Mus musculus: one gene and its partner. The protein of the gene in region 1 interacts with the protein of each later gene in a pairwise test. Links are inferred from orthologs where the notes say so. Each region holds a gene or a part of one and is shown on either strand. Other genes may lie near its edges.

The links.
Region 2: the proteins of Rabl6 (region 1) and Spink7 interact in binary tests that used the Homo sapiens proteins (3 or more experiments, as listed by UniProt). The link is inferred for Mus musculus from reciprocal best matches to the Homo sapiens genes RABL6 and SPINK7.

What each region holds. Positions count from the first base shown.
Region 1 is NC_000068.7:25,580,241-25,595,488, reverse strand, and holds the end of Rabl6 (rab-like protein 6), read left to right. Parts: intron 1-2,581; coding exon 2,582-2,722; intron 2,723-3,085; coding exon 3,086-3,191; intron 3,192-6,776; coding exon 6,777-6,880; intron 6,881-7,861; coding exon 7,862-8,214; intron 8,215-8,470; coding exon 8,471-8,621; intron 8,622-9,655; coding exon 9,656-9,865; intron 9,866-9,952; coding exon 9,953-10,181; intron 10,182-10,544; coding exon 10,545-10,713; intron 10,714-11,327; coding exon 11,328-11,386; intron 11,387-11,500; coding exon 11,501-11,698; 3' UTR 11,699-12,472; downstream 12,473-15,248. UniProt on the Homo sapiens protein: May enhance cellular proliferation. May reduce growth inhibitory activity of CDKN2A.
Region 2 is NC_000084.6:62,586,460-62,602,236, reverse strand, and holds Spink7 (serine protease inhibitor Kazal-type 7 precursor), read left to right. Parts: upstream 1-5,972; coding exon 5,973-6,033; intron 6,034-6,961; coding exon 6,962-6,987; intron 6,988-7,872; coding exon 7,873-7,997; coding exon of another isoform or gene 7,998-8,001; exon of another isoform or gene 8,002-8,058; intron 8,059-9,778; coding exon 9,779-9,824; downstream 9,825-15,777. UniProt on the Homo sapiens protein: Probable serine protease inhibitor.

The DNA of each region.
Region 1 (15,248 bases):
TATACCAGCCTCCAACATGTGCACATCCTAAGCCTGGGAGTAAAGTTTGCACTGTGCATGCCACTGATTGTGGTTTGAGGGTCCTGAACTCATAGATCCTTGGGAGCCACCATCTACATAACATACTTTCTATAGCCTCTGTACAGTATTCATAGGCCCAGCTCCAACCTACCCAACCTTCGGGGACCTATATGCTTAACTGTCACATGCAAGAAACCTATGGGGGCTACAAGAGGCAGGCTAGGCCATAAGCTCCAGTTCAGCAGTACACTTGTGTCATAGACACCCATATACAAAGCTGTTCTTCTCATGTACAGAGCAGAGTGCAGTGCTCTTGTGTACATGTACAGTGTGTTTTGCCGTGTGGGTGATGGTAGTCTGTTGGTCTATTATGTGAGACATGGCTTCTCCCATGTGACATTAGGTTTGGACACTGAAGGCCTCTATACTCCACTGAAGTGTGTTAGAATCTTTGCAATCTAACTTCACAAGACCCTATAGCTATAAGGGGGTATTATAGAGGGGTATTATAGAGGGGGTATTATAGAGGGGTAGGTAGTGCTCTTAAGAACAGCGAGGACCCAAAAGACATGAGTTCTGGGCTACAGAGTAGGCAGGAGGCTAAGCCAGCTCAGGAAGGATGCACAGATGCATATTTGAGAGCCATGAGGCTTCATAGGTCCTTGTCACAAAGACCACAAGTACCACAGCCATGTCTTAGGGTCTGTCTTAGTCAGGGTTTCTATTCCTGCACAAACATCATGACCAAAAAGCAAGTTGGGGAGGAAAGGGTTTATTCAGCTTACACTTCCATACTGCTGTTCATCACCAAAGGAGGTCAGGACTGGAACTCAAGCAGGTCAGGGAGCAGGAGCTGATGCAGAGGCCATGGAGGGATGTTCTTTACTGGCTTGCTTCCCCTGGCTTGCTCAGCCTGCTCTCTTAAAGAACCAAGACTACCAGCCCAGAGATGGCACCACCCACAAGGGGCCTCTCCCCCTTGATCGATAATTGAGAAAATGCCCCACAGCTGGATCTCATGGAGGCATTTCCCCAACTGAAGCTCCATTCTCTGTGAAACTTCAGTTGTGTCAAGTTGACACAAAACTAGCCAGTACAATTGACCCCTTGTCAACTTGACACACAAACACATCACTAGAAAGCCTCAACCCTTACATTCTTATTCATCCCCAAGATCTAAATAACTTTAAACGTCCCACAGTCTTTACATATTTTTAAAATTTCAATCTCTTTAAAATATCCATCTCTTCTAAAATCCAAAGTCTTTTTACAATTAAAAGTCTCTTAACTGTGGGCTCCACTAAAATAGTTGAGCTTGTCCTGGGAGTCAGCAGACACTGTTAAGAGTCTGAGCACTGATCGTGAAGGATGGAAGCATCCATGTTCACACAGCTGCTGCCATTGCAAGCCAGCAAGCACGCTTCAAGTGTCTTATAAGGATAAAAGGGGCAGGAGATGTTTCAAGCAAATGCAGCAAAAACAAGAGAAGCTGCCATAGTTAAAAACGTGTTGCGTTCTTAATTGCTTGGCAGGGAAGCTGGGTCATGCTCATTGCACTGACTGTGGGAGGTGTTAGTGATTTTTATAGAAACTAGGTCTCTGTGTAGCTTAGTCTAACCTGGAACGACTATACTTCCCAAATTGACCACAAACTCATAATCCTCTTACCTGAGCTTTCTGAGTACTGTGGTTATTGGTATACACTGCCACTCATGGTTGGGGAGGAAGGGGAGGGGAGCAGGGCATGAGGACTGGAGAGTGAGCCTAGGACCTTGCATATGCTAAGCAAGTGCTCGACCTCTGACTATAGCCCAGTCCTGGCTGGGGCTTCACAAGCCATTTGGAGACATTGGGATGGCTTATAAAGTGCAACTACAGGGCACCCCCACATTAAGTCAGTCCTGGAGACCTGGAGACTTTGTAGACAGAATGGTCTACCCTGCAGAATAAGGAATGTCCTAGAGACAAACGCGTCACTAAGGACACTTCAGTGATGGTAACCAGGAGGCAAGAGCCAACAAGCAGGGAGAAGTGAATGAGCTACAACCCCAGCCTCAGTGTGAAGCAGAGCTGAAGGACAGGTTACCTTAGGACATGCTCAGTTCAGAGTGATTCTACAAACAGGTGAGGCTCTGGGCAGTTGGGGGGGGGGTAGAAGGAAGGGGGAGGCTAGGGGGTTGTGTGATGGAGACCAGAGGACAGGCTATGAGAATCAGCTCTTTCCATGTGGCCCCAAAGATCAAACTCAGGTCATCAAGCCCAGCAGCAAGCACTTCTATCCACCAAGCCACCCCACCAGCCCTTGAAGCCAATTCATAGCAACATAGACAGGTGTCATACCAACTACAGACAAAAGAACAGGCACCTTGAATTGAGGTGTAGGGGAACTGCTCTCTGAGAGAGGCAGTGACCAGAGATGCAGCTGAAGGTTGTAGCATTTGTTCATCTCTGAACCCTGCCTGAGGTGACAAGTGCTCTGGGGAGTTAGACCAAAAAGGTAGTACATACAGCTCTCTGAGGGTCACACAGCTAAGGCAGAACACTCCCTCCCTTTTCAAAGGACCTTCAATTATGTTCTCCGGGAGCTTCCCAAAGTGCCAACCCATGTGCCGGTGTGTGTGCTGGGCAACTACCGTGACATGGGCGAGCATCGAGTCATTCTACCAGACGATGTGCGGGACTTCATTGAGCATCTGGACAGGTGGGTGCTACCACTTTTGCTCCTGTGACGTGCTCTGGTGGTGTTGGGGGCAGCACAGGCAGGGTCTTATCCTGTGTTGGAGATAAGATGACAGCACCTAGCCAGAGAGGGTAAGGAATTCCAGGTTTCCACGAGATGGTAATGCTGCAGAAGATGTGAAGACCATATGCCAGGACTATGGGGCCTGCCTGGCTCTTGTCTGGTTCTTCAGACCACTCCCAGAGGAGTATGCTGTAAAACATCCTTAGGAGCTGGCTGCCAGAAGGAAGCTTGGTGGCGGGATGCGTAGGCTTAGGTGTGACCCTTGACTTTGAAGTCAAGCTACACTGCCCATCAAGTTCCTTTATCTTTCTTTGAAAACAGACCTCCAGGTTCCTCCTATTTCCGCTATGCTGAATCTTCCATGAAGAACAGCTTTGGTCTAAAGTACCTGCATAAGTTCTTCAACATCCCATTTTTGCAACTACAGGTAAGTGCGTACTAGGTAGGGAAAACAAAAGGGTAACCATCATTTTTGTGACTCTGCACAAGAAGTGCCCTGCTTCCTAAGCCTGATAACACCCTTGGGCACCTTCTTGGAAGCTGGCTACTGATGTATGTAATGAGCTGGACATGGCACACACAGTACTCATAGTGGCGGCCAAGAGTCTGGTAACATGTCCTGCTCTCTAAGGGCATTGGAAGTCAGTACAGCCTGTAGAGGGAGCCCTTGTCCCCTGTGGGGCACCAATTGAAGTGCATACCTCATTTCCCAGATAAACAGATAGCTATGGAGGAAGTCCCAGTCACAACAAGTCTTTCAACAAGAGGCAGGTTCCAGGGTATGCAGTTTCTGTGACTACATTCACGTGCTGGCTGTGCTCTGGGAACCATGGCCCTCTGGCCAGCTCATGAAAAAAGGAAAACCTGTACCCTTGCTACAAGCATCTAGCCTTCCTGATACAGCGGAGGCAAGTAGAGTGGCCTTCAGGGTGAAGAGCTGCACCTATCCTGCTTTTTAATTAGTGCTCCTCTTGGAACCTTCTAGATGTATAGAAGTGGCAAAGGCTGTATGTGGAGGCACAAACCTGTAATCCCAGCACTCAGAAGGCTGAGTCAGGAAGATCACTTCAGGTTTAAGGATACAGAAAGAGGTTCAATAAGAGGGAGACCCACCCCAAAAACTCATAGTGGTACATGCCAGTAATTCCAGTACTTGGGAAGTAGAAGCAAGAGGATCAGAGGTTCAGGGTCATCCTTTCTATATCACAGGTTCAAGAGCAGCCTGGACTCCCTTTCTCAAAAACAGAAAAGGTGGCAGAGGTAGTAAAAAAATGGCCATATCCCCACCCAGTCCCTATTGCCTGCAGTTTGTTTCTACATTTGTCTAAGCCAAAGGACCAGTATCATTCTATAGACTAAAGGTTCCAACTAGTCCCAATTTCTCCCCAGAATCCTACCCTGCTTAAGCTCTGGTCCTTGTCTCTGGTCTTGAGGTACGCTATAGCTTCTCAGAGCTAGGAGAGCAATAGACTGTGGAAGGTGGAACAAGGCTCTGGGTTCTAAGCATAAGAACAGAGAGAGGGCCAATCCCTGATCCACATCCCTTTTGGGACAAACAGCTTTGTATGGGGTCTCTGGTGAACAAGAAAAGGCTAAACAGGCCTGGCTACCTTTCTGGACCTGGGTACCTGTAGCCTCCCCTGCTCTTAGGAACCCTTCATACTTTATCCAAGACATCAAACTCACTTAGAAAGGTGAAGCTTTCCTTTCCTCCTCTCTTCCTCCTTTTGAGGAATGTGAGGTTCCTGCAGGGGTGGCTATGATAGGAGCCTCTACTAGAGGCCTTTTGGCTGAAGACTCCTGTTGAGTCACCAAACTTCTTCTGGGGAGACATGCTTGGGATAACATGCTTGTCTCCTCAATCCAGTTAGGGATCCCAAAGTATGGATACCACCAGAGTCCAGCTTGGTGAACCAATGAGTTTTGTTGGGGTAACTTATATCCATATGAATGAGGAGTTCCTTACAGGAGCAGAAATGAATCAAAGACTGCATCACCAAAGCCCACCCAAGCATGGGTGACAGCTCACACAAGCTGGGAACCTGGAGCACCCTGCACAGCCTTCCCATGCAACGGTCTGGTCTGGATCTTCTTGCAACCTTTCTTCTCTGAGATTCAGCTTTTATTGCTTATTGGGCCAGGAGGGCCTAGTCAATCTGGTCAGTTTCAGGGACTTCCTGAAACTATTTTCAGTTGTTTGCCTTCTTGTTTAAAGAGCTCTGCAGCATGGATGTTTCAGTTTAGGAGGAAACCGTTAACCAAACTCCTCATACTGCTCCATTCTATGAAAGCTTTACCACTGACTTAGACCAAGGGAGATCAAGGGACACAAAGGGATGCCAGAATAGTCATTGGTGCTAAAAGCCTGAGCTGAGACCCAAACCAGTATAGCTTTCCTCCATGGTTATTTGCAGGGAACCTGATGGCCACTGTCTGCTGGCAGGGTAGTGGGTACCTGGAAGCACCCATGGATTGAAACATTCCATATTGGAGGGGCTGGCTGGTCTTCTAGAGAATGGCAGTTCAATACACAGCATCCACATGTTGGCTCACAACTGTCCGTTGTCAAGGGATCTGAAATGCCTTTCTGAGCACCAGACATGTACGTGAAACACAGACGTAGCTTGCAGACAAAACATTTACATGCATTAAATAATGATGTGGGAATGTAACTCTGTTAGATTACTCGCCTACTATGCATGATACCCTGGGTTCAGTCCCTAGTACTGTACAAACCGTGTGTGGCACAGTCTGTAATCATAGCACTGAGGAAGTGGAGGCAGGAGGAAAGGAAGTTCAGCATCATCTTTAGCCATATAGCTAGTTCAAGGCCAGACCCTGGTACAAGAAACATTAACCAGTCTTATTTTCAAAAAAATTAAAAACAACAAAAGTTAGGTGTGGTGACACACGCCTTTGATCCCACTGCTCAGAAGGCAGATGTAAGTGGATCTCTGAGCCTTAGCTACAAAATGAGTTCCAGGACAGCCAGGGCTTCACAGAGAAACAAAACACCATGACTCCACAATTATTTGAATCACCAGTTATTGGTCAGTATTCAGGGTAAGGTCTAAATAGACTGTATGCTATGTATGTGATGTGGCTGTCTAGGCTGCTCTTGGTATAGCACGAGTTCACCTTTAAAGTAGAGCCTCGTCAGTCTGTGGTATGCCTGCTTGTTAATCCTGAGTGTTGTTTGCATCGTTCTTGTGTATCTCTTTTCATTTTTCAGAGTATAAACAACTCCCAGGTCTCTTGGTCTGTAGTTAACTCCCACTTTTTCTATTCGATTTGTTTGCTCTGTGCTGAAAGGACCCCACTGTGAGCCGGGGGCAAGCCCTGTTTCTCTGGAAGGCAGTGCCTGTCCACCAGAGCCTCTTCCAATTAGGAACACAGTCCTTACACAGCCTGAAAAGCTGCTGATTTTTAAGATTTTTTTTTGTTTGTTTTTTGGTTTTTTTGGTTTTTGGTTTTTCGAGACAGGGTTTCTCTGAATAGTCCTGGCTGTCCTGGAACTCACTCTGTAGACCAGGCTGGCCTCGAACTCAGAAATCTGCCTGCCTCTGCCTCCCAAGTGCTGGGATTAAAAGCGTGTGCCACTGCCGCCTGGCTAAGATTAAATTTAAATGCAAGAAGCCATGTTGACTGACAGCCTTGGCAGCTGGACTCAGAGACTTGATTTGATCCGCTTTGTTCATCCGACTACAAGTATGCGGTTTACCCAGGCTTACCTGGCAGAGCTTCTCACCTAGAGTTGCCCCGAGAGCTGCCCCTGCACCTTAAGCGCCTGTTTCCATGGTTTTGTGGCCTGATAGGCTATTGTAGCCAACAAAACATGCTAGTGACCAAAGATGTGGAGCAGAAGGTGGCACTTTCTGGTGTGGTTCCCCATGACCTATATCCTCCAAGCCATAAAAGCTGAGCTTGCAGGCAGCCAGACCTCATGTCTCTCACAGGAACAGGCGGTAGAATGGGGAAGAAGCATACTCAGTTTTGTCTACTTCCTCTACAGAGGGAGACACTACTGAGGCAGCTGGAGACAAACCAACTAGACATCGATGCCACACTAGAGGAGCTATCAGTGCAGCAGGAAACCGAGGACCAGAACTACAGCATGTACGTGAGCTAGCATCTACAGCTATGCTGGCCTTCACTACCCTGAGCGGGGAGGATGGGTCCTGTACCCTGTTGCCAGTAGGCCCTAGTGTTCACAGATAAGAGCTGAGTGCCAGACTTTGGTCTGAATCTATGAGGCAGTGGAGAAAGCACCACATACAATCAGCCTGAGTGTCCTTCAGCCAAGACCTTAGCAGTACTCAGTGTAGAGCAGTGTGGGGAGCATCGGACTAACACAGCTCAGCAGCTCCTCTCAGCGGTCTAGGACCTGCGTCCATGCTATTTGTCCTTGCCCAGAGCCCTTCCTGTTCACCTGTTGGGGTATAATTATTAATATGAGCTAATTAATAGTCAGATCAACATTTTTCTAAAACAGATGGACTAGTACTTTGAATTGAGCTATGCTGGCCTGGGAGCAGCCTCAGTCTCCCTACATCCCCTCTCAGTTCTTATAGAAAGTGAGGACAGGTACTCCTGAAGATGGGTTGTGTCGACTCTGGCACTCTACACCCCCAAGTACTTTGGAGCCTACAGAACTTACAAAGTGCTTAGACATACGTTATGGTTCCTACGTGTGGGTCAGCACATGCCTGTGATGAGAGCCACTCCTCGTGTGCGATTGCTAACTTCCTCACTGACCATAACCAGCCACACTACTTCACTGTTGTTTGGCTAACAGCTACTGGCCTACCCAGATTCCACAGGAGTGGGTGGTCCTGCACCTCTGCTGTGCAGCTCAGTTCCCCAGGCTGAGGAAATGCCAGTGCAGAGGGAGAGCATGGGCTTGGGAGCTACAGTGCTAAAGAGACAGGATAGGCAAGGAATTAGTCTGGGTACCAGGGACGGGACAGTTGACTGGCAGACAGGCCCTATCCTCTGCCTAAATATAAATGTAAAAGACACACTGATGCCTGAAAACCATGGAAAAAGAGGGCCGAGAAGAAGCAGGTTCCTCACTCCATGCCCTTTTGCCCCTCCTAGCTTCCTTGAAATGATGGAGGCTCGAAGTCGAGGCCACGCATCCCCTTTGGCAGCCAATGGGCAGAGCCCATCCTCAGGCTCCCAGTCGCCAGTTGTGCCTCCAAGTGCTGTATCCACAGGGAGTTCCAGCCCCAGCACACCCCAGCCTGCCCCTCAGCTGTCTCTAGGTGTCTCCTCCACCTGTCCCTCAGCACCATCTCCTGTACCCTCTTTGGAGGCCATGCCCTCCTCTGTACACTCTTCAGCCCCAGCCCCAACCCCAGCTCCAGCCCCAGCTCCAGCCCAGCGTCGCAGTATCATCTCTCGGCTGTTTGGGACCTCACCAGCTGCAGAAGTGACCCCTTCACCTCCAGGTAAGCCTGGGAGCAGCTCTCTCATGTGAATTTGGGGCCACCTTCTGGCATCTTGAGCTTCATATTCCTCACTGGAATGTCCCTATGCCCCTGAAAAGTCACATGGGCCAGCCAGTCCTTAGCCTGGTTCTAAAATAGCCTGGACCTTGAGCCTGGGTGCATGCCTTGTTAAGTCCCAATCCCACAGGCACAGTTTTAGGGCTTGCCTAGCATGGGGGCAAGGACCACATAAGGAAGAAACAGCATTTCTCTGTAGAGCCAGCTCCAGCTCTCGAAGCTCCAGCAAGAGTCCAGAATGTTGAGGATTTTGTCCCTGAAGATGGCCTTGACCGAAGCTTCCTGGAAGACACAAGTGTGCCTAAAGACAAGAAAGTTGGAGCCAAAGGTCCCCAGCAGGATAGTGACAGGTAAGGGTCAGATTGATAGAGCTGAGCACAGGGTCCACCTCAAGGACCAAGCAACAGAGCTTCCCCATCCCATTCATACCTGGGTCTCCAAAACCCCATTGTGGGCACAGCCTCCGGTGCTTACTAGGTTGGCAGTTAGCTTTGAGGACAAATGGAGGAACAGAGGGAAGGGCTTAGGTCATGTCAAAGCCCACTCAGTACAATCATTGCCATCCACCCTGGGGAATACAGACAAAGGACTTACCCGGGACTGAGGCAGAGTTTATGGCCACAGCAAACTAGAGAACATTAAGCTAAATCTTCCTAGGATAGCAGGAGCCTTGACAGATGGCCTATCAGGGATACGGGCACTCTTTTTTTTTTTTTTTTTTGGTTTTTCGAGACAGGGTTTCTCTGTGCAGCCCTGGCTGTCCTGGACCTCACTCTGTAGACCAGGCTGGCCTCGAACTCAGAGATCCACCTGCCTCTGCCTCCCGAGTGCTGGGATCAAAGGCGTGTGCCACCACGCCCTGCTAGGGATATGGGCACTCTTGAAGGCCCAATCTATGTGTAAGGTATAGTGAAGGCCACCTGGGTCTCCATATAGACCCAGAGAAGCAAGCCCTAGCCAGGTCTAATTTCCTGCAGCTAGCCCTTCTCAGTCCCTTCTCTGAATTCTAACGACACTTGAACATCTGTCTACAGTTAAGCCTGAGATTATTCCCTCTCACAGATCAAATGTTGAGTGACTGTTATCATCTCCAGCATCACCATGTTGTATGGGACCAAGGGCTTCCCTTCCAGAAACAAATAAATTAGGGGCTTCTCTCTGGACTCCTCCCACTGATTCTGTCACTGACCAGCAGCAACTAGGCAGTGCTTCCCTCACTATTTAGTCCCCCTCTTGACAGCAGAATACCCCTGTAACAGCCCAGAAGGTCTTGCCACTGGGATATGGTACTACAGACAGGGCAGCTCTACAGGCAGTGGGGTGGGTAATCAGCAACACACAGCCCCCTCAGAACCTCTGACTGCCTACCCCCCCCTCTTTGCAGTGACGATGGGGAGGCCCTAGGAGGGAACCCAATGGTGGCAGGTTTCCAGGATGATGTGGACATAGAAGACCAGACACATGGCAAATCCCTGCTGCCCTCGGATCCCATGCCCAGTAAGAACATCAGTCTCTCAAGTGAGGAGGAAGCCGAAGGACTGGCAGGCCACCCTAGAGTGGCCCCTCAGCAATGCTCAGAGCCTGAGACTAAATGGTATGGGCTGGGATTCCCAGAGTATGTCCAGCTGAGGTGGCAACCCAGGGTGGCCTCTGAGTTCCTGACATTTCTTCTTATGTGAAGGTCCTCCACCAAGGTCTCACATCCACAAAAGAAGAGAGCTCCCACGAGAGGCACGCCACCGTGGTCAGATGGTCTCACCACTGATGACTCTGAAAGACCCCAGGAAGGGAAGGACAAACAGGTGTCATCAGAGAGTGATCCTGAGGGGCCCATTGCTGCCCAGATGCTGTCCTTCGTCATGGATGACCCAGACTTTGAAAGTGATGAATCAGATACACAGAGGAGAATGGTAAGGACAGGTGCTGACTGGGCAGCTCAGGCACCATCCTTCCAGAGCTAGAGGACAATCAAGAAGGTCTGTTTCCCAGAGCCTGACGAGAGGCAGGAGAATGTTCCTGGCTCCAGTGCCCCAGAGGCACAATCCTTTCTTATTTACTGTGTGGCTGAAGCCTGCTGGAGAAAGTGAATGAGAGTCCATGGGAGAGGGCCCATTGTCCACATGAAGGCCCTGCTGATCTTTCTGAATCTGGGTCAGGTTACCCCTCCCATCCAGCCCTAGCCCCTGGAGTCGTAAGTGAACTTGCCAACCTTGTTTCCCAGATCCCTCGGAGTGGTCAGGGCACAATCGGCCTACCAGCTGCTCTCTTTCCAGGGCAGGTTTCCAGTAAGAGAAGACCTCTCTGATGTAACTGATGAGGACACTGGCCCTGCTCAGCCACCTCCACCTTCCAAGCTCCCAGGTGCTTTCAGACTGAAGAATGACTCCGATCTCTTTGGGCTGGGCCTAGAGGAGATGGGACCTAAGGAAAGCAGTGACGAAGGTAGGAGGGCCTGGAACCTGCTGGATCCTAGAGGTCCTTGTCTGTGATACTCCTGTGTTTACATTTACATTGCCTATGGTTTCTCTTTTCACCACAGTAATTAGCTGTGAGATTGGTGAAACTGTCACACCAGCTGGCAAATGTGCACCCAAGTGTGGTCCAGAATAGTCATCTAAACACTGTCACTGTCACTCTATCCATGGTTCCCTATGGGTCCTCACCTCTACCAAATGTTCTACATTCCATGCTTTCAGGTGTCCCAAGCCTTTGGGACAGAATTCTTTTGGGAGGGGGAAAAAAAACCACACAGGCTAATAAAAGGTTACTGCAGGGAGAATACCTGGGAATCTCGGGCCGGCCCAGGCTGCCTGGAGAAGTCCTTGGACTTGGGCCATGTCAGCCCAGCAAACAGCTTAGGACTGTACTGTCAGGTTCTCAGCCCCATAGGGAGGGGAAGAAATTACTTGAAGGCTTGTTCAAGACTCACCACCACAAAAATACATAAATTGCCTGTGGGACCACGCCCTGTTGGGAATGGGGTCTCTGCAGCAGTGCCTCTGCCTAACTCTACAAAGTGGTAGCAGGTAGGAGCTCAGCTGTCCTTTTCTGTGCAGATAGAGACAGCAAACTTCCCTCTAAGGAGAAGAAGAAAAAGAAGAAGAAAAGCAAAGAGGTACCTACTCTGTCACTAACCTCCCAACTAGCCAAGCCATCCAGGCTCCTAGAATGTGGGATTTAGCCTTGTGGGTTGCCCATTGACTCTAGTTCTGCTCTTCATGACCTTCAGGAGGAAGAAAAGACTACAAAAAAGAAAAGCAAACACAAGAAGAGCAAGGACAAGGAGGAGGGCAAGGAGGATCGGAAGAAGAAGAGGAAGCCCCCTCGGAGCAAAGAGCAGAAGGCTGCAGATGAGCTGGAAGCCTTCCTGGGGGGTGGGGCCCCTGGCAGCCGCCACCCTGGAGGTGGGGACTATGAGGAGCTCTAAACATGCCTAGGGCAATTGATTGTCTGGGAAGAGGTGGGCTGCCAGTGGCTGGGAGGCTGCTGTCTATGCACCCACATTCCCAGGACCACCCTGCCACCTATGTCCCCCAGCCATTATGTCTGCCCCCATGTGGTCTGGCCCACTCTACATTGTTTTTTGTGCAGAAGACCTTGGTGGTGTTCAGGCCCTTGGGTCAGGCGCTGCAGGTGCTGGGCCTCAACCCAGCAGAAGCCTGCTCTGCAGGGAGGGAGGGGACAGAATAAAGTTGCAGCTGGCTTGGTGGATCACCTGGCCTCCCAGAAAGAGCTGCAACCAGTCCCCGGTGTTTCTCAGGGATGTGCCTGGGGCCGAGAAGGGACCCACCAGGGTCTGTTTACAGAGGCAGGGCGTGGGGCTGCTTGGCTTCTCTAATGCCCACCACCCAGCCCCACTCCTGCTTGCCTTCCGGGGCTCTCCCAGAGCCACAGCATGGCTTGGGTTGTGGACCTTCTTCCCCATGGATCCAGAGTGGCACAGGGTCCTGCCCTGAGCACAGATGTGTCATGTGTCACTCAGGAGGGCATGGCAGCATCTGCTACTGCAAAGTGGCCCAGGCCCCGCACTGGGTAAGCCTGGCAAGAGAACACAATGTACCACTTCTCCTGTGGGAGAGGCACTAACGGGCTGCCACTGTGTGCCAGCTGCGCCTCTGCCCGCTGAGCGCCTGCGCAGGTGAGCCCAGAGGGCACCTTCTTAGACACTCCAGACCCATACCATAAAGCTCTCTGATTTTACTGTGGTGTGTGACTCTTTTTCTGGTCCCCTAAACAGCTTGAGATGAGGCCAAACAATGGACTAGGTGCTGTTAAGCCAAAATTCGGCCCAAAGGGTGGTCTGAGGACTTAGTACCTAGCCATACCATGTAATCCAGAGGACCAAGGTGGCCATGGTTCAGGGCTTACCACCACAGGCTGATACAAGGTTACTGCAGGGAGAATACCTGAGAGTCTCAGGCCCTGGGGCCCTGGTAAGGTAGTTGTGTCCTGCTCTGCACTGCCTCCCTGCCTGCTGGGAGTCTGGGGGCGCCTGCAATTGAGAATTTCGCCCCCGCTGGCAGCTCTCCACCCTCGCCCACTGTGGACACGTTGCCATGAGAACCCTCCAGAGGCAGGCATTTATCACTGCTAGTGACGTTGGGGGTGGAGCATAGTGCTGCGCCTACTGTGGGCCAAGGCTGAGAGTACTTCCCTAGAACTTGTGGGGGTGCTATGAGGGGGGCTTCCCTTTTCTGCTAGGGAGCTGTGTACACAGGACAATTGATAACTGAGCAGGCACTATGGGACAAACATTACCTGGCCCTTTAGCTCCCAGACTTTGTACTCCTGATGTAGAGAAAGGGTCTACACGTAAATTACCCCCACTACTGCCCAATAAGCCGTAGCACCGGGATCTTGCCAGGTCTGGTGCCTAAATAGGCAGGTCTGGCATCTATAGCCCATCATCTACCAAGCTAGGATGCTGGAAGGCCCAGTGCCTCTGGCAAGAGGCACGCAGGGCCAGAATGAGGTTGTGGCTTAAGAAGTGAACCTCCTGAAGACTTCCCCCAAAGGAAGCAGGCGGTGGCCACCCAGGCTATATTGGACACTGGAAGTTGCAGCTACACTCCAGGCTGAGCAAGCCATCTGGCTCCCGGGCACCTGCCGAGATTTTGGCGTCTTCAGAGCCAAAGAGGACAGTTCCTGAGGAGAGGCCAATGGGCATCTGCTCCCACCCAGGTCCAACCACAGACGTGTATTCTGGAAACTTCCCCAAACCCAGTTTCTCTAAAGACAAGCCAAGGTTTCTGGCTCCTTACAGGACCCTGCCTGGAATCCTTCTGGCAGGCTTCTCTTGGTGCAAGGGACTCCCTGTTCAGACCGAAAGATTTGTGCTTTGGGGATGCTATACATTACCCTTCACTCTACACCGCCTAAAATGAGAGCTAGGTCGTCTGTGGTCCCAGTATACACCTACCTTATAACGCGGCCCCTTTAAGTGCTATTCTATTGGTAGCCACTAGGGGCAGTACTGAGCCGCCAGGCCAGGATCACAGCTGCTGCCTCCAAGCTTCTGCTGGTACCGGGTGTATGTATATATATATATATATTTATAGCGGGGCCAGGTACACACTGGGACCGACCTGGGCTATGCAGACTACTCGGGCTCGGCTCGTGGAGTAATCACCAGGTAAGAGGCCAAGCCAAACTGCCCAGCATGTGGAGCTGTTGGCACGGGAGGGGGCTGCACGGAAGGATGAGGAGTCCCCGCCCCCAAGCAACGCAGACTAGGTTCTTGCTGATGGCTGCTCCAGGACGGGCCAAAGCAGGACTGCTATTTGGGAAGGGCCTTCAAAATACCTAGGATACAAGAGCAAGCCCCAACCCCATCCCAAAGGGAGCGTGTGTCACAGTGCACTGCTCCTGACAGCTGCAGCCAGCAAAGCCGACTGTCACCTTCCTGGGGCGGAGCCTCAGACCCTGTCATCTCACCCAAACTCTGACCTGGCACTGAGTTTAGAATGAAAGGGGTCTTAATAGGGTCGGCATGAACCTGGGTTTGGAACAAGCCTTGGTACTTAGTAGCTCTGACTCCAAAGAGCACCCCTCTAACAGCCCCTTGTACACCTGGACTAGAGACCCGAAAGGCCCATCCACTTACAAGTCCTGCCAGGCCCCAACACACTCTCAACTTCCTCTGGAGCAGATGTCCTGGGAGTAGGTGCATTATGGGGGGAGGGTGTGTGTGTGTGTGTGTGTGTGTGTGTGTGTGATCGCCTTCTTAAACCCTCTTTCTCTAGCCAGCTCCAGGCCCTGGAGACCACAGACACTGGTGGCCCACATCTGAACATTAGCCTAGATCGTTTTCAGCCCATAGCTCCAGGGATGAACAACCACACGTTTCCATGGAGCTTTCCAAAGCCAGAGTGGGAAGGACTCTGTCCTGGGGAGGGGCTTTCCCGCCCTCTCCTCTGCCTCCTCCTAGCTAGCAGCCTCCTGGCTTGGTACACTAGTGGTAGTTTTCAGCTTAGAGGAAGGACACCATGAACTCGTGGCTCACATGGCCCCACGTGGTTCTGTAGCCTAAACCTGGCTTTAGCACACACTGGGGGTGGGGGAAGGGTCCATGTGCAATTCTGCAAAGCAGGAGAGTCTTGCTGTAGCCTTCTCTGTTCCAGCAAGCTTGGTGGGTTTCATTCAAGCAACTGGGGTCCAAGATTTATGCAAAAGGAAGAGGGATTTGAGACCCAAGAAAACTCTGGGATCATTCCTCTGCCTAGGACCTCATCGAGTTGAGGGGACTTACGCTTAGTTAAAAAGGACTTGAGTGCTAGGAGAAGAGTTCTCTGCCCAGCCTAGTCGGCAGGCAGGAACCATTCATTGACTCACCTGGGACTCTGCATTATCAGAGGGTCTACCTGTAAGGAAATCTAAAAGTGCATCGTTCCAACTGTAGGCACCAGAGGGCAGTAGTGCTGAGATCACGTCCCGCTTTGATCTACCTAAGCCTGCCCAACCGACCCTAGTAGGGGGAG
Region 2 (15,777 bases), on another chromosome or scaffold:
GAAGGGAAATTGTTGGTTATAGTCTATTCTCATTCCCTTGTCTACTAGCTGGAACTATTTACTGATGTGGATCAGGCCATTCTTTAGTAATAGGATCCTGAAGGGGAGATGCCAGGATAGGTGAAAGAAAAGACAGAAAATAGAGAACATAAAAGCTGAGTCCAGAGGTCTTGTGCACACTCTGTCTTATCCCAAGCAAGCTTATTAAGAAGTATAGCATCTTATGTACAATGTTCAAGGGAGAAATTGGACAGAATCACGAGAAACTATGATACAATGGGACAAAGTCAGCGAGGAGCTAACCAAACATGGGTTATCTTAAAACCTTATAGACCTATAGCCTTGTGTCTTAGTCAGGGTTTCTATTCCTGCACAAACATCATGACCAAGAAGCAAGTTGGGGAGGAAAGGGTTTATTCGGCTTACACTTCCATACTGCTGTTCATCACCAAGGAAGTCAGGACTGGAACTCAAGCAGGTCAGAAAGCAGGAGCCAATGCAGAGGCCATGGAGGGATGTTCTTTACTGGCTTGCCTCACCTGGCTTGCTCAGCCTGCTTTCTTATAGAACCAAGACTACCAGCCCTGAGATGGTCCCACCCACAAGGGCCTTTCCCCCTTGTTCACTAATTGAGAAAATGCCTTACAGTTGGATCTCATGGAGGCATTTCCTCAACTGAAGCTCCTTTCTCTGTGATAACTCCAGCTGTGTCAAGTTGACACAAAACTAACCAGTACACCTTGGGACTGATAACCACAGTCCCTATGGTGCAACGAGATGTGTTCTCAATGTATGAAGCCACAGCTACCCAAGGCCCTGGCCACAGGCCAATAATGACAAACTCATTCCTGGTTTTGAGAAGGAACTGTGTTCCTTCATACATCATGGTCTCAGGGAAAACTCCGGTTGACCAGTCAATCATCAGTGGCTCAAAGGAAATTGAATGCAGCTGATACACAGGACCCTTGGTTTTGCAAACTCCCTATTCCCATAAGCAACTGGAAACAGCCCTGCCACACACAAGGCCAGAATACCAATGCCCAGATCCCTCAGGCTCTGTCTTCTCCACACAGAGGAAGAGCAAGATCCAAAGTGCAGGCTATGTCAAGAAAAGACAAGAAAGGGCAAAGAAAACTGAGCCAGCGTAGGAAGGTAGACACTGAATGAACAGAGCAGAAAAAAACCATGGCCCAGAGCTGGCTCAGCTGAATGCATTGACCACAGTTTGAGATGGTCCCAAGAAGGCCTTGAGGTTTTAGGAGGTATGCCTTGTGGGTGTCATAGGGACAGAGTTCTGGGGACCGTGGTCAGAAGCCAGTATGGCAACAAGCAATGGAGTGAAGGGGAATAAACAGCAGAGTATGAGTCTTCTCATTCTTCACACTTTATATGTTAATTTGGGGGTGGGGTTTTTCTCTATGTCATGCTAGGCTAGGACTCAGAATTTCATGAGTGGTAGGCAACTGCTTTACCCTTGAGATAGAGCTATAAGCCCCACCCCCAGGATAGATTTTCAAGTTAATGTTAGTAGAAGCAGAGGCAGCAGAAAGTTCTAAGAAATAAAAGACATTTCATTTTGTTATGCTGTTCTTTACATAGACAGGTGTATAGGGTAGGGTAGGAAACAGTGGCGCTGGGACTTCCCCCACACAAGGACCCTCCCTCCTTCCAAGTGAACATCACACATGGAGAATTCCACACACTCTGACCCATGGCCCAGCCCATTCTGCCACTCATTTACAATGTCTTCCTGAATGCTTTTAGTTTCATGTTTATTATTTCACTGGTCAGTGGAACTCCAAATCTACTGCTTCTGCCATACACTTCACTACAATAGCAAAATTAAAGTGTATCTTCTTTAGCTTAAACTGCTACTCTTCTAAGTCCTAGTTCTTATCTCTGCTAAAACAAAGCAACTATTTGAACCTATCTCAGAGGCTCGTTCTAAGTTTGAGATGAACTAACCCTGATACATAGACACACAGATTCAGTACATACTAATGACTTAATGTACATTAGTTCTTACGACAGTCCACTGCTATAGACATTGTTCTATCCCATCTCTGATGCAATCTCTCTTATGTCCCTCCAAAGATCTGGCCCAGGAACACCTCAATCAATCCTTATTCTAACATAACCCTGAGCCATCCTATTCTTTCTTGGAGGGGGGTACCCCAAATCTGGTTAAGAAAAAAATGTGAAACTTTTGTCTTGGCATTTATGCTTTTGCATTGATTGTTCACTTTCTCCCACTGCATGGTCCCACAAGTCTGTTCTTCCTACAGGATTCAAGGCTTTGAATCCTTTGAAGGCACACACTGAGAAACGAACAAGCTGCCTGTAATCTGAAGAAAGCGGCTTTTCCACACCAGAACTTCTTCTCCTAGTGTATAGTTCAGGGTTTAGAGTGAAAAATCCCCACTCCACAGACATAGTTTCCAAAACCTGTCAAACCCCATAGCTGATCCCTTGACCTCGCTCCTCCTCACAAGGAGTCTCCACCCATCGGCCTCTGCTTTGTTTTTGTAAAAACCCAGAGTATCATGACCCTGGCCCCACCCTTGACAAATTCAATCTGATGTTTGCCTCCTAGCCATAGCCTACATAAACAATTACTTACATTCACCATACCTACCAGGTCCGCATTTTGTTTGAAACTTGACTTTTCAGAGTCTAACAGGAGTTTCTCTTCCAAACCTTGACACTCCCTAACACAAAGATATGCTTGTTGGAAGTCACAGATCTGCTCAGTCAACATTCGTAAAACTCACTCTCCCGCAGTTTCCACTCTGTGTCGTATGGATTTTGAGAGAAGTGCACAACAAGCTACTAATCAGGCTGAAGCATTGCCTAATGGCCGTCAGTTTCTATATCCATTTAGAATGATCTGACATACTCCCAACAATGTTGGTGCCAAATGTCTTCAAGCTACAGCACGCCTCCGTTCTTCTGTTGTCAAAAGCAGATTATGATGGGCTTCATTTCCTAATCTTTCCAAATAGCAACCTCCACACTCACCTACTTACCGAATCATCTGCCTTCTATGACAGAGGGGATGGCTTCACCTATGCCTTCAGCTGGTGTCTTCCTTTTATAGGGTTCTGGTTAGCCACCATCTGCCCTATGTCTTTATTTGCCCTTGGCTTTCAGAGACTCAGTATATGAAAGACTATGCTGAAAGAAGGCAATGGTTCTGCCCTTTCTCTTTTTCTCTGATGCTCAAATATCCAAAAGAATGCTCTGTAAGCCTTTTTTGCTTAAAAAAAAAAAAGGTAGTCCTTTTTCAAACTGCAAAAATTACAGGTCACCTTGAAACATGGTGTCTTTCTGTTGGTATTCTCTTTTATTTGGTTTTACGAGACAGGGTTTCTCTGTGTAGCCCTGGCTGTCCTGGAACTCACTCTGTAGACCAGGCTGGCCTCGAACTCAGAAATCCACCTGCCTCTGCCTCCTGAGTGCTCAGATTAAAGGCATGTGCCACCACGCCCGGACTCTGTTGGTATTCTTTATCTGTAATCTTTCATATCAGACAGGAGAAATTAGGACTGCTTGTCCCTATTAGGAACATCAGCTCTTGCCGGTGACTCTGCTCTGCATATTGTCCTTCAGTAACTAGAATCATGATCTTAAGAAAATTATGTCTTCAAATTATAAGTTGATAAAATTAGGGCAATAAACTGCCTAAAAATTGCATCCCACAACATTAGCTACCATATCAATATTCAATTAGGAGCCTAGAACTTGACACGGCACACACACATGCACACACAAGAATTATATACACCAGGCAGTGGTGGCACATGCCTTTAATCAGTCCCAGCATTTGGGAGGCAGAGGCAGGTGGATTTCTGAGTTCAAGGCCAGCCTGGTCTAGAGAGTGAATTCCAGGACAGCCAGGGCTACACAGAGAAACCCTGTCTCGAAAAAATAAGAGTTATATACATAGCATATTTTAGATATTGGTATTCTATTCAACAACATGTTGCACATAGACTCACAGTCCATGAAGAATATAATGAAGTTGAAAAATATCCCCATGACCTAGGTCTTTTTTGGCTATTGTAGCATGACTTTGCCCCATGAGATACATATTAGTTGTGTTTCACAATGATGAGATTATATGCAGTGATGAAATGTATTCAGCTCAACCACACTGCTAGTCATATAAAAGCACATAGCATACAACTATATGTGCTCACAGTACCTGATATAATGAATAAGTAACGTGTATGTTATATACTGTCTATTATTTTACTACTTATTCCTTCTACATATATATAAAAAAGTTTGCTATAAAACAGTATAATAATGTATTGTTTCAGGTAGTCTTATATAGCTCAGATTGTTTCTTAATGGTATTATAAACACTTGTTCCTTAATCTCATCTTTTTTATTCAAATTGTCCTAGAACAAATGAACTATAATATATATGTAATTTTATATATGCCCACATGTACATGTTCATATATACAGATTATATGTATGTATATATGACAGCTTGGGTGTATGTATAATTGTACTTTGTGATTTTTATACAATAAAATTATCAAGACATGCTACCCACCTTCTGTGTGTGTGTGCGCGCGCGCGTGTGTGTGTGTGTGTTTGAAGTTATACTTAACAGTCCAAAATATCCCACAAGGTAAACATGATTTGTGTTTCAGAGATAAATCAATATCTCTCAAAGTTAACTGACATATTCAATGGCTTTAAATGAACAATTCAAATGAGATCCACAATATACAATAGTTACACTTTTAACAATATTGTACTGCCTTCCCTGAAATATGTTAAGGTCTAACATTTAAGGAGAGGTGATGTCATTTATAATTTGTTTACTATTATTTGTAAATGCTATGTTTCAGAATGTACAAAATTAAGCTTACTACACAATGAGCTTTATATCCTCCTGTCTTCTGGGTTTTCACACATCTCCTTGAGTTTGACAGACAAATAGCAGGCAGTTGGATAATTGTGCCTGGACAATGCAGTATATAATTTAATGTTTGCCAACTACTTGTACTCATTCTTGTGTTGACCTTCTGGAGACATAGTAAAAATGACCATATCCATTCCATGTCCTCTACGGCTGGAAAAGATCATGAGACTAATAGCCATGTGTCAGGGGAGAACAATGACAAGGGTATCTCTCCTGGGATGTAACATTTACTTCGTAGCTGGAAAGGGACACCATCTGGGATATGTCTTCACCGCACTGGACAGCGTTATTCTAAACAGTGACAACATTGCCCATCTGGCAACCAGAGTACTATCTATGCATCAGCACCACAGAAGCGCCCATTCATAGAGGTACAATCTGTAAGTTATAGAAATCTCAAAAATACATGTAACCATAATATGACCACGCTTTTCTGACTAGTACAAGTTCACAGCTTCATAAATGCCTTATCCAAGATTATATAGCTGGGAAATGCCAACACCTTTCTCAAAGCCTCATAAGTCCCAAAGATGTTAGAGTTGCAAGACCCCTGAATGTTTAATAGGTTCCTTGCTTGGAGAATGAGACTGTATTGTCTCGGGAGCCTAAAATGTGGATATACCATGGCTTGGCTGTGTTTAAAACCTTACATTTGAGTAGAATAAATCACGCACGTAATATTCTTTTGTTTCTTATCTAAAACAAGAAATCCATGCTTGATCTTTTCTGTGCAAAGCTTAGTCTAAGTAACTGTCTTCACTTATGCAACAGATAGAAAAATACTGTTCACCTCAGATCACCCACCTGTCAGTGAGTAGGGACCCAGAATTTGGCTGACAGGTGTGGCAGCACCATTCAGGGTGTGGCGTGCTTTGCGAGCCACTCGGGTCCTATGCTGACTTTGGATGAGCTCACAGGAAAGGTGGAGAAACCGAGGCTTGCCATATAAACCTGACCCCTCGCTGAGTACATGGCACATTCAGCTTCAAGCCAGTCTCGCATCACTAGCCTCTGCATCACAGAGCTCTCCACCATGAAGCTTGTTGGTGGTCTCCTGCTGCTCTTCGCAGCAACCTATGTCTGCAACTGCTCTGGTGAGTTGGGTAAGACGGTGTCACATACAGTCCTGAAGATTTTATTTTTCATGTACTTTCTCCCAGGATCTAAGCTGCTGACATAAATATCTGATCAAGTGGATTTAAAGTGAGAGAAACAGATCTGATCAGGGAGAGGGATCGTGGTTCTGGCTGTACTTTGAGGGATTGGAATCTAATCTCTTCCCTTGCAAGGATTCTTACTTGGCACCCATGGACCAAAAAATGTCCTAATTTCTCTATAAATATTTATTGTGTAAGGATACTTACAGCTGTGTCAGTAGATGGCTGTTCCATGGTGCAGAAATACAGAGGTCCTTAGGTGTCTTCATGGATCCATATAGTAGAATCTAACTAAAAGACACTTCTCTGGAGGTCTCAAGTTAATGATTTTGCTTTTAAATTGTGAAGAGGTATGTAGTTAAAATAAATTTCTAACTTTTTTAATGATATCTAATTACTTTACTGTTTGCTTGTTTGTTTGGCACAGGGTTTAACTATGTAGTTGTAGGTGCCTGGGATTTGCTACGTAGACTAGGCTGTCCTTGGACTCACAGAGATCGGCCCGTCTTTGCCCCTGAATGCTTTGGTTTAATGTGTGCACCACCACATCTACCCCCTATATCTGTCTGTGTTGATTAGGAGAGAAAGTATATCAGAGATAAGGCTTCAGTAGCAACTGGCTTTTTGAAATACACCATAGCCTCCAAAATGAATAAATAAATGTGCCTTCCTGATTCAAGGGCTTACCCATTGGCTGTTCAAGTCCCTAAGCAAACTGCTGTGATTTTGCATAATGATAGGGTCTATGCTGAAATTCATTGCCGGGGGAAATGAAATGTCTTTAACTGAAGAACAAATCAGCTTTGAGTAATGAAATCCCAGGATTTGCTCTGTTTGTAATGCTTTCATTGTATTTTCCTTTCAGAAGTTACTAGCCACCCTTCAGCAACAGTAAGTATGTTGAATAAAAATTTTAATTTCTATTGGCTGTCTCTTATTCAACAAATATCTATGAAAGATCAATACATCGCTCATGTATGATCATTTAAGGAAAGCAACAGAGGAGACAGACACAGATGGAGAAACGTTTTCTACATTTGTAAATGGCCAATATAGTAGAATGTTTCTTACTCGCCTCCTGAGTATTAAAAAAATGGGATTTTATGCAACAAAAAGTTAATTATGTGGAAAGAATTCATCCTCCTAGCTAGCCCATATAAAAGATACACAATCCGGGTATTTTATTTATAAACTGTAAGCCTGGATTGGAGGGTTGGAGCTATACTAACTTACTCCCCAGCTATAAAGTCCCTTGTTACTTGCTGTTTCTCCTAGCCATGTGCTCATGTCCATGTCCTCTCATGGCTGCCTCCTCCACCTTTGTCTTCTTTCTTCCTCCTCTGCCTCTACCAGCAACCTCCCTCACTGGATCCTTGAGTTTCACCTTTCTCCCTCCACTGCCCAATCACAGGCTCTAGCCTTTTATTGACCAGTTAAAATGAGCAGCAAGGTTCACATAGCATCACTTGGTGTAGGTGAGGATCTGTACAACTTGAGAAGCCAGTATTTCACACTAGAATACAAGCGCCATCAGACCAACCCCCTACATAATTGTAAGGCAAAGAAATGGCCAGCGATTGCTCACCAAGTGTGGCATTAAAAACTAGGAAGGGTTCTGGCACTACTGGTATTTGTCATGATGATGATGCCACTCTTTATAAAAGCAATTTCAACAGCATCAGAACTGCTGAGATGTATGTAGCCTGTCTAGTTGACCCAATGTAGTTATCCTTGTGGTATTTGAGAAAATCAGGACATTCTCTTGTGTCTGACTAGGTGGACTGTGACATATACAAGAAGTACCCAGTGGTGGCCATCCCTTGCCCCATTGTAAACATACCAGTTTGTGGATCTGACTATATCACTTACGGGAATAAATGCAAGCTGTGTACAGAGATCTTGTGAGTATCAAATACAAAGAAACAATGTCTGGGAACCATGTTCTCTACTCAAATCCTTCCCCTTCCCAAGATCCCTCTTAACTCCTTACGGTCTACTTTTTCTCATGCAGAATAGAATGTGGGAACAAAAATTGGCCAACTCTTCTGCCAGCTTGAACTGCTCTTATCCGGCTCACAGATCCAATTGTTGTAATTCTGAGTTTAGTTCTTGATTTTTCAGACTCAAATTTGCCTCTGTAATCTAGAGGCAAGTCATGAGTTACCAAAACTGGCCATTTGGAGTGGCCCCCAAACCCAAGTTCAATTTTCACTATTTTATGAAGTGGAATTCCATACAACTTCCTATTTTTAAAAGGTCTATGAATAGGTAAAATGCACTATCCTATGTGATTTCTAAAATACTATGCACTTTTAATGCATCTGGCCTTTAGTCTCAGGTTCCTATAGACTCTAAGCATCAGTAGTCTTAAATGAGATAGCCACTGAAATTGATTGACTTTCCTTTTATCTAAAATGAGGGATGCAGGCTGAAATTAGTAATTCAAAATCCCATCGACGTGGTTAGTTTAGGTATTTTGTTTAGTCTGCACAGTGTTTGGAAGGATAGTTATTAGGCAAATACCATTTACATTTTTAAAATGTAAAATGCAACTTAGCACTCTTGCTATCATATACCAAATTTAATTTTTATTATTGCTAACTATCTTTTAGCAGTGATACTTATGTTGGGACACTTATCTCATGTCCAGAGTTCTCTTTATTGTGATTATCTTTTTTTATTAGATATTTTCTTTATAAACATTTCAAATGCTATCCCGAAAGCTCCCTATACCCTCCCTCTGCCCTGCTCCCCTACTCACCCACTCCCGCTTCTTGGCCCTGGCATTCCCCTGTATTGGGGCATATAAAGTTTGCAATACCAAAGGGCCTCTCTTCCCAGTGATGGCCGATTAGGCCATCTTCTTCTACATATGCAGCTAAAGATACAAGCTCTGGGGGTACTGGTTAGTTCATATTGTTGTTTCACCTATAGGGTTGCAGACCCCTTCAGCTCCTTGGGTGCTTTCTCCAGCTTCTCCATTGGGGTCCCTGTGTTCCATCCAATAGATGACTGTGAGCATCCACTTCTGTGTTTGCTAGACCCCGGCATAGCCTCATACAAGACAGCTATAACAGGATCCTTTCAGCAAAATCTTGCTGTGCAATATTGTCTGGGTTTGGTGGCTGATTATGGGACGGATCCCCCAAGTTAGAATCACAGGTTGGGTCTGAGACCAGAGAACATGCCTACATATACATTTATGTTTGGAAAGTTTCATTTCACAAAAGGAAAGATTCTTTAACCCAGACACATCTACAGCCCTGGACCATGAAACTGGGCATGAGGTCCTGAGAGGGAGACATGGTAGAAGGCGTCCTCACTATTACAGTATCCAGCTGCATCCCTGCCCTGCTGACCAGGAAGAGCCGAAAGATAGGCTACGTCAACTCCTTTTGTGGAGTCTTCTTTGTTCTTTTGCTACCTCAAGTAATCCTCCTGCCTCTGGGATCAGTGGAGGAAGTGGATGGGATGGAACCATGATTGAAGCAGAGAACTTCTGCTCTGTGGCAACAGCATGGTGCTCTGGAACTCAGACTCGCCATTTTGTGGAAAGAGGTTCTGCTACGCAGTCCTGTTCTTAGCCATAAGGAGGTCCCACCACCACTTTCTTTGTTTTTGTACTTCTTCTCAACTTCTGTTTCTGCCTTTGTTTACTCTTGTTGTTCATGTCTTCCCTCAGGAGAAGCAATGGAAAAATCCAGTTTCTTCATGAAGGGCACTGCTGATCTCTCCATGGACATAGAAAGAACAGCGATGCCTTCATCATGTGCGTTACAGATGGGCTCTGATCGGAGTCCCTTCTCTGTTGATGTTCTGGTGGAGTCGGATCTAGATTCAGTCACCATCACTGACTGTGGAAAGTCCTTGTGATCATTCCTATCAACTTGTGTCTCCTAATATAATACCTGTTTAGTCATCTGAATTAAAATAAATCTCTCCAGAAAGTTTACTTTTACTTCAGTTTGTATTTGATTCAAGGATGAGTTACAGAATTGCAAATATAACGTAATTTGAGAAATAGACAATAGTTGTTGTGCAGGAGACAGTTTTGAATAATAAACACTGACTGATTTTCAAAACAAAGCACACCCCAACACGCACAGATGTTCACTTCAGTCCTCCTCACTTCCAGTCTGTAACTATTGACTATGGATGGTATTCATGTTTATTTCTATCTTTTTATCATAGTTCCAGAAACCAAACTTCTTTCATTCTAAAAAGTCATTCCCGGGGATATGGTTTGTCCTTCCTTCCTTCCTTCCTTCCTTCCTTCCTCTCTCTCTCTCTCTCTCTCTCTCTCTCTCTCTCTCTCTCTCTCTCTCTCCCTCTCTCTCTCTCTCTTTCTCTCTCTCTCTCTCTCTCTCTCTCTCTTTCTTTCTTTCTAAGCATTCCATAGCTTCTGGAGCAATCTCCAACAAAATACAGAAGGAAAAGTTACCACCCCATGGGAAAATCCAAACATTGATGTAGAAGTCCTATTATATGAATGCTGTACTTACCTATAGCTGAAAATTACATCCACAAGACCATCACCAGCACACCTAGTAAGACCTCTAGATAAAGAAGTTTGCTCCTTTCCCAAGAAATAAATTTCCAAATAGCTGAAGATGAGAACTAGGTCTTCTTTAACACCTACTTTCTCCAAAGAGCTGGGGAGATGGATCAGTTGGTAAAGTGGTTGCCAAGCAAGCATGAGGACATGAGTTTGATTCATAGCATCGATGTTGAAAACCAGTAGTGATGATATGCACGTGTTATTCCAGGGCTAGGGAAGTAGGTACAAGTGGGGCCCTGGGGCTTAGTGGTCAGAGCATCTAACCAAACCAGAGAGGCTGAGGACCTATCAAGAAGCTCTAAGGAATTAAACCAAGGTTAACCACTGTCCTTCATTCACACATTCACGTGTACACACACCATGTGTGTGCCAACAGAAAACACTTAGTATATAACACACATAAATAATAAACTAAGTAAAAATTTTACAAGATTAAAACTACTTGATTACTCTATAGACAGAACACTTCAGAAGTGAGCTTATCCCTTCAGGTTTTTTTTTTTTTTAATAGAAAAGAAAAGGAGGAATGTTTTTCATCAAACTTTGAAAATAAAACCACAACCTTTGGAGAGCAGGGAATACCATCCAGTCCTCCACTGAGGTATTCTGTTAGCCCTGAGTACCCTCTACATGGAACAGTGGAGCTGTCTTCATCACCGTCCTGTTGTGTGTCACCTAGGATTCTGTAACACTATTTTTCCACCCATTTACTGAGCCTGGGTGATGACCAGGACCATATGGCTTTCACTTTCTATCTGTGTCTGAAGCCATAGGATACCTACAAAGATGGGAAATGCCACCATCCACTGGCTGGTCTTCTATATGTCTCTTCAAGGTCCTGGGATGTGGCAAGTATGGCACTATGGAGACTGTGAGAAACGGCATAAGAACAGTCATGTGAAGTATGAGAGTTGAAACAAGATGCAAGAGCATCATACCTCGTTCCACTTCTCACAGGGATAATTTTGTCATGTGACTTGGACGTTTTGCTGTTTGGCACATGTCTGTATGATGCTACTGGGGTTCACTAATTATCTAAGTCAAGCCCAAGAATGGCAGCCACTGGCCTGTGATTACAACATTTGGTGAAGGTAAAATTGATCTGAGCTGTGGCTATTCGCAAGAGTGTCTCATGGAGAGCAGGAGCCAATGGTGGCCTCTACTTTTCTTAGAAATTGACGAGTAAGACAATATTCATCATGCACACACATGCCAGAAGCCTCAGCCAGAAGACCTACTCACTACTGAGCCGGTAGTAAAGAAACAAATGATACAGTGATGGTCACATCTTGGTCCAGTCTCCTTGCTCTGGTGGTATCACTTTTCCTTCCTGGAGGAAGTCTCTGAATAGTCATAAACATCTTTTTTTTTTATTAGATACTTTCTTCATTTGCATTTCAAATGCTACCCCAAAAGTCCCCTATACCCTCCCCCCTGCCCTGCTCCCCAACCCACCCACTCCCACTTCCTGGCCCTGGCATTCCCCTGTACTGGGGCATATAATCTTCGCAAGACCAAGGGCCTCTCCTTCCATTAATGTCCTATTAGGCCATTCTCTGCTACATATACAACTAAAGACACAAGCTCTAGGGGGGTACTCGTTAGTTCATATTGTTGTTCCCCTAATAGGGTTGCAGACCCCTTTAGCTCCTTGGGTACTTTCTCTAGCTCCTTCATTGGGGTCCCTGTGGTCCATCCAATAGATGACCATGAGTATCCACTTCTGTATTTGCCAGGCACAGGCATAGCCTCACAAGAGACATCTATATCAGGGTTCTGTCAAACAATGAATTCATGAATTTCATAGGCAAATGGATGAATCTGGATGATATCATCCCGAGTAAGGTAACCCAATCACAAAAGGACACAAATGATATGCACTCATTGATAAGTGGATATTAGCCCAGAAACTTAGAATACCCAAGACACAAGTTGTGAAACACATGAAACTCAAGAAGAAGGAAGACCAAAGTGTGGATAGTTTGTGCCTTTGTAGAATGGGGAACAAAGTACCCATGAAAGGAGTTACAGAGACAAAGTTCAAAGCTGAGATGGAAGGAAGGACCATCTAGAGACTGCCTGCCCCACCTGGGGATCTATCCCATAAACAACCACCAAACCCAGACACTATTGCATATGCCAGTCATGAACCTTTTTATGGAAGTATTAGGACTGAATACATCCACGAGCATCTGTAAAACATCAAAAAGAAATGAGGAACGTGATGAGGAGGAACCAGGATCCAGGAACACAAAAAGACTGTTCACTGGTCACATACTTCAGCGTCTTCTTTGTTTTCCCTTGTGCTCATCCCTCCATTTACCAGTCATCTCCAGAGAATCATTTCTAAAGCAAAGACCTCATCCCCCATTCATCACTAGCGAACACTTTGGTGAGTCTTGCTTCCTACAGCCTTCTGGTACCAGCCTCTCCCTTCCCCAAACCATCCTCTCCATTTTTTACTCTCCCCCAGTTTAGTCCCTGTCTCTCTCAGAAATTCCTGTGAACATGCCAAGTCAGCATATGCTTATACCTCTTCCCAGCTTTCTGGCTTCTGTACCACCTTTCAGCCCTAACGCTATCTTCTCTAAAAGGTTTGACCTCTGGGTTTCTCCTAGATTAGCTCTTTTTTGAAAAAAAATATTTTTATTTTAAACTCCAGATTTTATTCCTCTCCTGGTATACCCCCATACCACATCCAATACCTCCTCTCCACCCCCTGGAGCCTCCAGTCTCTTGAGGGTTAGGTGCATCTTCTCTGAATAAACCCAAACTGGGCAGTCCTCTGCTGTGTATGTGTTGGCGGGGGGGGGGGGGGGGGGGGGGCTCATAAAAGCTGTTGTATGCTACCTGGTTGGTGTTTCAGTATCTGAGAGATCTCAGGGGGTCCAGGTTTATTGAGACTGCTGGTCCTCCTACAGAGTCAATCTCCTCAGCTTCTTCCCTGTAATTCAACCACAGGGTTTAGCAGCTTCCGTCAATTGATTGGGTGCAAATATCTGCCTCTGACTCTTTCAGTTGCTTGTTAGGTCCTTCAGAGTGTGGTCATGCTAGGTCCCTTTTGGTGAGTGCTCCATAGCCTCAGTAATAGTGTCAGGCCTTGAGGCCTCCCCTTGAGCTGGATCCCACTTTGGGCCTGTCCCTGTACCTTCTTTTCCTCAGGCTCCTCTCCATCTCCATCCCTGCAGTTCTTTCAGACAGCAACAATTAGATTAGCTCTTACAATATTATACTTCCATTCTAGTCACTATCTGCCTTCTCTACTATGTTGAGAACCACTCAAACCCACCACGGATTGGATTTCACTGCGCTTCCACTTTACCTGTTTCTTATAGGTTGGCTTCAACCAGTGTACATAGAATATATAATGCTCTGCCTAGTAAGTAGTTAGCCAACAAATGGTGGGTTTAAGAAACAACTGCAAATATCCGTGATTGTCATAGATTTCCTGCTAACTACATAGGTAATTTTGAACTTAATGGTTTTTTTCTCACCTCTATCTATCCTAAGCACCATCCCGCCTGTTATTGCCCTGAGCTACCACATCTGTCATACCAGAAGTCAACCAAGTACCTTGACTGTGACAGAGTAAAAATATACAACCACCTATCAGAGACTTTGGAAGATCTATGCCATTTTCTGATTTGGATCAAAAAATACAATGTTTCTCTTCTGCTTTTGTGATTCCTCATAGCAGGGTCCTGGTTTTGGTGATCTTGTTTATTTTTCTTCTACCAACCCTATAGGTAATGGTGCCTTACTTGAATATGTAATGTTTAAACTTTCAGAGAAAGAAACATTAAAACAAATCCGATTTTGAATGTATATAAAACTATACACTCACTATTCTAATGCCTTAGATTCCTCCAACCAAATTCTATATTGCTTGAAAACAGCAAATGGAACAAGTTTTATTCAGCAAATACAAAGAACAGGAGAACCACATCACTGCCTCCACACGTGAAGGCACGTGGATGGCTAATGAGTGTTTTTAGCCTAAGGAAGGAGGCAGGCAGCAGCTGGTAGCCAGAGTGTCAGTAAAGAATAGGTGTGAGGGAGTAAACTTATGAAACATTGTGAAGAAATAGTTCATGCATCGAGTTGGTGGACATCGGAACATTTGTGTTGTTATTAAACCATGTGTCTGCCATATGCAGTCTCGTATTACTGATGACTTGTGATTAAATAAATAAGACATAGGGCAGACAAGGCAATAGACATAGATGCAAATTTGCTCTGAGTTTGGGATTTGCTAAGAGCATCAATACACTGAATTTTAAGAAAAAAAATGTGCTTCTTTCTTAAATATTATAGGCTTCTTTGACCATAAGGGCGTTTTGTTTCAAGGGACCTATTAGTTTGCTAAAAATAGTTGGGGTGTGGCCATGGAAGCAACCTAAAAAGGTTAAATGGACAGAGAAAGCACAGGACATAGCAGGAGTGTATCCTTCTGGCTGCCTTTCTTCTTCCTCCATAAAAGCTTCCACAATGAACGAAACAAAATTCAGGACACCTTCTAAATGAATCTTTTGATAAAAGAAGAACTGTGGAAATTGATTCCGCTTAAGAAGGAAATCTTATAATCCATCAGGGTTTAGGGATTCACAAAGGAGTTGTAGTGCCTTCTTTTAAAAACGATTTATTTAGAAATAAAACAAGAATCACAATAGAAAGTCAAGACAAACACATCATTTTTTTAAAACATTCTTTTTATTCATAAGATAGTTTCATTTTTGATTATCAGCAAATATTCATTAAACAAAAAGGTGTTTTGTTGCAATATTTTTATATTTGCATGTCATATACCCTCCCTCAATCAGTGCTCATTATCTTCCATTGTTCTTCTTTTATTCTTTTACTGGTTTCCTTCCTGCTCCTAATAGTCCACTTTATGTTTTCATGTCATGTGTATATATTTTAATTATATATGTATGTATTTATGCATATATATATACATATATATATTCACATTGATAAGTGGATAAGTGGAAAACTGGCATATTTCTCTTTCCTGGTGGCCTACTTTGTTTATTATAATGATCCCCACATCTATACATTTTCCTTCAAATGCCATAATTTTATTTTTTTATGGATGAATAAATTTCTATATATACAAGGAAGAT